Linked DNA regions of Daphnia pulex. Each later gene encodes a partner of the first gene's protein in a complex. Links are inferred from orthologs where the notes say so. Each region holds a gene or a part of one and is shown on either strand. Other genes may lie near its edges.

Region 1 (3,790 bases):
ATACATTAATATTTAATTTTTATCGTCTATGTCGATTCCAGATCGGCCTATGCTGCTTCCAAACATGCACTTCAGGCATTTAGCGACAGTCTGCGAGCGGAAATCCATCGTCACAAGATTGATGTGACAGTCATTAACCCCGGATACATCCGCACAAGTTTGTCTCTGAACGCGCTGACGGGCCGAGGAGACAAATATGGACAGACGGATGAAACTACGGAGTCGGGAGCGGATCCACTCCAAGCTGCATATGAAATTGTCATTGCAATTAAGGAAAAAACCCAAGAGCTGATGCTCTGCTCACTCTTTTATCGTTTAGCAGTATTTCTTCGTGCAATTCTACCCAACGTTTATTTCAAACTTATGGCGCGTCGAGCGGCCAAGAGCAAAAAAAGTCGTTAATTTCTAGTAGAGAATCTCTAATACATTCTGATATAATAAGGATGTATTGTTCAGTTTGTACATTTGGGAAGTTTTCTTTATAACAAGACTACTTGAAGGCAATAAAGTACAGCTTCCAAAGGGTAATGCTAGCTGCTGTAACACAGATGGTGCAATGAAGAGTCTTCCGTTTGTTATCATCTCTTCTTACGAGAACTATGGGACTGGAAGTGGTCAACCTATTAACTGGTAATTTGGCCAGTCTTTTTGTATCCATTTCAACCTGAAGCAAAACCGATATCTGCTATGACCTTTGCCAACTTAGTCAAGTGTATGTATTCTACCTGGTATTTACAGCAAGGATCAAATTGCCAAGATGCTGTGTACAGTCCTGTACACAGCAAGGAAAGGAGACCTAATGGAGTGTATATGTATGGACGATTATCACAGAAAAATCCTAAACAGGAAATTTAACAAAATTAGACTTATATAATGCAACAACTGAATACTAGCAACAATTTACCTGTTATGACCGAACCAAGTCCAGCAAGTACTGCTGTCTTGTGAAGACAATTTCCAACGGCGATCCATCGCGCCGTTTCATCGCCTAGTCGAACTGGCTCAATGACAATTACTGGAACAGCAGCTTCCAGAGCTCGTTCTAGTTCTAGCTCAAATCTTTCCTGGGCGTTTTCACCGTCATAGATTTCTCTTACGACCGCTATTTCCGCCGAATGTGGCCCGCTAAAATTTGAAACAGCATCATAATATTATTGTGACGACCGGAAGCTTATAATATTTTTAAACAGTCATGCAAGGGATTACCTGCTCTTTCTCCTGTCTGCCATTTCTTTTGCCACTTGGCCAGTGTTTTCAAGTGGTTGCTATACGTACTGACGGCCTTGTAGAGTTTCGGCAACAGCCCAAAAACAATCATTGCCGAAACATTTTTTCGTTGCCGTCGGCTGTCGTACAACTAGTTTAACATTTTAATAATAAAAAATTAAATAATCTTTGATTTAATCTTTAAAAAATTCACATAACTTGTTCCAATTAAAAAACTATAACTTTACATTCATAAAAATAAAAACGAGAATCTATTTAATACAGGCAACGTTGTGCAAGTGGCATTAAGCGTCTGTTTTTAACGCTCCTCCCCTTTATCAACTCGTATGTTTTTCAATAAAACTTTCTGAAAATGTGAGTAAATCGAGTTAAATCCTCAGCATCATTTAATAATTTAGTAAATTTTTACGATGAATCTAAATTAACAATATTTTAAATTTGTGTAAATCACTTAGGCCGGACAAAGAAACTGGCGATCGAAAAGACCGGAAAGCCGGCGAAGATTCCAGTAAATCAAAAGATGCTAGCAAAGACAAAAAGGATACCAAAGATTCTGGGAAGAAAAAAGGCAGAGCTTCAAGCAGTGATAGTTCTTCAAGCAGAAGGTAGTGTTAAACTTTGTTGTGTTTAATGAAACCTTCAGCTTAATGTGACATTTCAGTTCTAGATCGTCCAGCAGCAGCAGTAGCAGCAGCTCTAGTTCACGATCATCCAGCAGTTCTTCTTCAGACTCTAGATCATCATCTAGTTCATCTAGCTCTTCTGATTCATCAGGTTCCTCACGTTCCAGCGGTTCATTAAAGAAGCACCAGAAAAAGAGGTAATTATTCTAGTTGGATGACGGTAAACAAGTTTCTTGTGATAACAGCATTTTTGTTGACGTACAGAGCCCCAGCGAGTGATAAGCCAAAAGTTGATAGCAAACCTGATGAAGAGAAAACAAAACTGGATGGAGAAAAGAATGTTGACAAAGACAGAAACAAAGAAAACAAACGATCCCGCTCTACATCTCCCCGGAGGCGTCGTCGCGATCGTTCACCTACACCCAAGCCACTTCGAATCCACATCGGCCGACTGACGCGCAATGTCAACAAGGAACACATTAACGAAATTTTCTCCGTTTACGGAACCATCAAAGCTGTCGAGTTTCCCAACGAACGTGCTGGGTTAAGTCACCTCCACCGGGGCTTTGCTTACATCGAGTTCAGTACTGCCGACGAAGCAGAAAATGCAATGAAGCATATGGACGGAGGTAAAGTAACGTTTGTTGGTTACTGCTATAAATACGTTTTTAATCTCAAATAATCTCTAGGCCAAATTGATGGACAAGAAATCACAGCCGCCCCTGTGCTGATCCCTAAAAACCGTCCACCACCACCTCGACGGAATTCACCACCCAGAAATCGACCGGGCCGTTGGGGCATGGGTGGTGGTCGATCTCCACCAAGGTAATATACTACTAAAGTAAATCTTTATTCCGGTTATTTGCATCTGTTGTGTTCATTTCTACAGATTCCGAAGACGTTCTCCCCTACGTCGACGATCTCCTCCACGAAGGGACAGAGATAGGAGACCACCTCCACCTGCCCGTTCCAGGTCTCGTTCACCCAATCGCCGTTCAGGTGGCAACAATCGCCGTTACAGTCGCAGTTCATCATCTTCTTCGCGTTAAATAAGACAATCATGATTTATTTAACGTTGAAGAACGTCCACTCTTTTTTTTTTATCAACTCAACTTTGTGCTCGTGATTCAGATTTTGCTTTCGCCCGAGCTGTTGCTGATGAGTCAATAGCGTAAATGCCACACGTATTCCGTAAATTTTCCCTTTTTCGATGGAATCCTGCAAGACGATACAATATCACCTGACAATGGCATTTGTCCTTCAGTTGTTTCTACTACATTTCTTTTTCATTTGAAATGAAAAGTCTTATTATTATTTTATCTATCAATTTAAAAAGTTACCCAACCGCAAGTTTATGTTGCCATCTGACGTTTTCCAGTAATCCGAGTAGTAATGCTTTCTTTTTAAAGTCAATGGCTGCTGGAGGAGAAACCGGATAAGCCTTAAAAAAAAACTAGTTGGATCTGTTTGTTGGAAACTCAATAGAAGTGTGTGTAGCGGGACATGACAAGTCAGAACACTTTCATTCCGGTTTACAAGTGACATGTGAAAGGCGGGAGATACGGTTTCGCCTCGGTGTTATAAACACAAAGAAAGGAACAGCAAATTTTTATCAGGGGGAGGGTAGAAATTTCTCACAACCGGAATGTAGCTGTTTCTAACTGCTTTTTTCCTCCTATGAAAAAGTCGATTTGGTAAATTGTGTTGTCTTCCTACATCCGGCAACGGCGCGCCCAACAGTTGGAACAAATTTGTTTGCACAGCTGTACTCAATTACGGAAGTCTGTTTGGTTCTTATTATCCTCTTAGCAGTCAGCGAATCGCATTGGAAATGTTTTTGAGAATATTTTGTTTGTTTTTTTTTTCTTCGACCACAATCTCTTCCACGGCTGAATCAACTTGCACCTCGATCCCCAACCGGTTAAATCGTAGACATGAGC
Region 2 (2,839 bases), on another chromosome or scaffold:
TGCGATTGATTCATCCCTAGAAGAAGATTTGTTTACCTTGTACCTTCATGCTCAAATCTGCGCACATTTCAAGCAATACAAGAAAGCTATCCAGCTCATCAATAGGTATTATAATTAGTTCATGAATATAAAGCGTAACTATTAAAAACCAAACGTTATTTTCTAGATCAATTTTGCAACTGAATTCTATAACCTTTGCTGTGAGTGGAACGAAAGATGTGATCAGATCCCAATTATGTTTTAAACTGTCGCAATTATTCGATGAAATTGGAAATTTGAAAGACGCACATCACCAACTAAGGCTGTCCTTTCAATATGGCATTTCTATGAATTGTCAAATGCTAGAATTCTATCATAAATTTACATGTAAACTGGGAGCACAAAAAGAAATTCCAATTCCGTCTGATTCTCATCAAGAGCAAGAGGAACTGATTGCGACAATTCTGGAACATTCGGATGACTTAACCCTTAATTACTTAATACGGGATTCTTATGCAGCGTTTAGCCTTCCATAAAAAAATGCAACTGAGAAATACATTTTCTATGTGAAAATTTTTTACTGTCAATTATGAAAATGACTTGGAAAAATTGCTGGAAAAAAAAAACAAGAATGCCGTGTCGATAAACAAAAAAAAAGTTAGTATGGCCTGAATCTCCTGTTGCTTTGATTATTCATATTTCTGCTGGGTGGAGTGATGGCGATGTCAATATAGTCTCCAATGGTAAAACGGCACTGTTTGAGGGTCTTCATATCATCTGGCCCGCGTTCTCCTGAGATTGTGGAACCTATTTCACGTCGAGACATGCTTAGTGTGCTTCGGTCGGGGAATACCTAAGCAGACAGAAGAAAAGAATGATGTATAATGATGAACTAACAAACAAACACAGCAGTTCCTCTTTACTTTAAAGTACTGTATGAACTAGAATGTACCTGAGCAAAGGAAAAGCGTGTTCCACGGCGTCTGGCTTCATAATTAACTTCTCTCACCAATCCAGTAATTTCTTGAAGAGTGGCATCCATCCTATAAATGCAAAATGCAAAATTTCATGAATTCTACGATTACACATAACTTTAGCCGTAAATATCACTTTTTCTTGGGATTTCCTTACCATGTATAAATTTGAAGCTCACTTGCTGGCACACTACCTCTTGCATAATCACCAAGACTATGGTGTCTTCCCATGGCACAGAAAACACGAAGTAACAATGGGCATGTCTGCAAAGAAAACTCAGTTCAGTCATATTTTAGATTAGAAAATGCAAAAAATGTTAGTCTACCTTTTCTCTGTCAACAGATTTTTCAGTTTCTCTATTTTCTTCTACTCGAACGGCCACAGCAGATTCTACAGTTCCCGTAGCCATTCTGTATGGTTTTAACTTCAAATTACTTTTCACAAGGTTCTTGAATAGTTTTAATGATTGAGTTAGAAGAGCCGGGAGAAACAAGATTATTCTGTTTCATGGACGCGAACAACTTCTGATGAGACAGCGCCTCAACCGGCTGATAGTGGCAATTTGTAATTTTGCCACATTGCCATCATGTGAATAATGTCTGCGGAGTGCGGGACGGCCAGGCGGGCCAGCGATCGAAAATGAATTACGGCCTTACCAGAGCAATAGATCCCTGGTCGGTTCACGGCTGTGTTGGCTTCCCCATCTCGATTTTAGGGTAAACGTAAGCCGATTTTCAGGGGGTTTTAGGGCGGGGCCTGTCAGAATTGTGAAGTGGAAACTTTAAAAAGAGCCATCTAGGCTCTCAAAAGTAGCTGGACGTTGTAGCTGACACACTCACTAGAGGCGCTTTTTAAAGTTTCCAAATCGGCTTACGTTTACCCTAAAATCGAGATGGGGAAGCCAACACAGCCGTGAACCGACCAGGGATCTATTGCTCTGGCCTTGCCTTACGCATTTCTTATTTAATGTAATAGTCCGCATCTACGCGTACTAAATACTAACCACTTCAAATAATTAGCTGCAATTTAATTGAAGAGAAGATTGGATTGGTGTTTATTTTTAATTTCAAACTAAGGATTAATCATTCAGAATTCGAATCACAATCGGAACTTTTAATCATGTTTTAATTAGAGAAAACTATGTTTTAACATTAATAACGTATGGCATTCTATCAACGGAGAAGTCTTTTCAAGCAAATATGTTGTCTAAAAATTATGTTTTTCATTTCGTTCTGAGTTGTGAAAGCTTAACCACATTTTAACTTTCCCTCGGCTCTGTTTACGTGCAATAAATTCATAATACGAAAGGAAATACATTGCAAGGCCTGTTTGATCGGGGTATCACGTAATGTCACAATCTACGGATATCAGAGAGAGACATCTATGGCTGAAAACATCGTGAAACTTCGTTCACGTTCATTGTGATTCATGCTGGGTAAATAGAATCTAAACAATCTAGAATATAGGTGGCAGGCGCGAACAATGATCACAATAGACTGCAACCCCCCTTGCCAACTCAGGCCTTTGCTCACTTTGTGATGTTGCTATGTTAGAAAGTTCGTAGAATCGGGAAATGGGAACGTCACATTGTAAACGTCAAGGTCATGAATCTCGTATCGCCTGTTGAGTGTTGACTAATGAAATACGTTTACTCTTAAAGAAAAAGTATGTAACAGTTTAGAAATGTCCTACCGTTTTGTGTTGTGTTGTGTTCTCTTTCAAACCATTGTTGTCAGTCAAGAACTAAGTGCTGCTATCGACCAGCATCCAGAAAGTTTTTGGAAATGTTCTCAACGTGAAAATCCTGAATGTCAATGCTTTCCGAAGACAAATGGCGATTTCAACTTACAATGTTCAGTTGGTGAGGGTTCTATTTCAGCAGATT

What was found. The genes of interacting proteins can lie anywhere in the genome.
Region 2: RNA-binding protein with serine-rich domain 1-B-like (region 1) and histone deacetylase complex subunit SAP18-like share a complex: the UniProt entries of both Homo sapiens proteins name them as parts of the heterotrimeric ASAP (apoptosis- and splicing-associated protein) and PSAP complex. The link is inferred for Daphnia pulex from reciprocal best matches to the Homo sapiens genes RNPS1 and SAP18.

Annotation. Positions count from the first base shown.
Region 1 is NC_060025.1:2,684,519-2,688,308, reverse strand, and holds RNA-binding protein with serine-rich domain 1-B-like, read left to right. Parts: upstream 1-1,497; 5' UTR 1,498-1,579; coding exon 1,580-1,581; intron 1,582-1,682; coding exon 1,683-1,832; intron 1,833-1,888; coding exon 1,889-2,047; intron 2,048-2,114; coding exon 2,115-2,479; intron 2,480-2,539; coding exon 2,540-2,675; intron 2,676-2,739; coding exon 2,740-2,899; 3' UTR 2,900-3,113; downstream 3,114-3,790. Other genes in the region: dehydrogenase/reductase SDR family protein 7-like, read left to right, coding at 42-402; transmembrane protein 11, mitochondrial-like, read right to left, coding at 491-664, 726-838, 905-1,125, 1,207-1,229. UniProt on the Homo sapiens protein: Part of pre- and post-splicing multiprotein mRNP complexes. Auxiliary component of the splicing-dependent multiprotein exon junction complex (EJC) deposited at splice junction on mRNAs.
Region 2 is NC_060018.1:4,705,755-4,708,593, forward strand, and holds histone deacetylase complex subunit SAP18-like, read right to left. Parts: upstream 1,506-2,839; 5' UTR 1,364-1,505; coding exon 1,280-1,363; intron 1,218-1,279; coding exon 1,111-1,217; intron 1,023-1,110; coding exon 932-1,022; intron 833-931; coding exon 638-832; 3' UTR 538-637; downstream 1-537. Other genes in the region: uncharacterized protein LOC124210509, read left to right, coding at 1-105, 167-515; protein toll-like, read left to right, coding at 2,638-2,839. UniProt on the Homo sapiens protein: Component of the SIN3-repressing complex. Enhances the ability of SIN3-HDAC1-mediated transcriptional repression. When tethered to the promoter, it can direct the formation of a repressive complex to core histone proteins.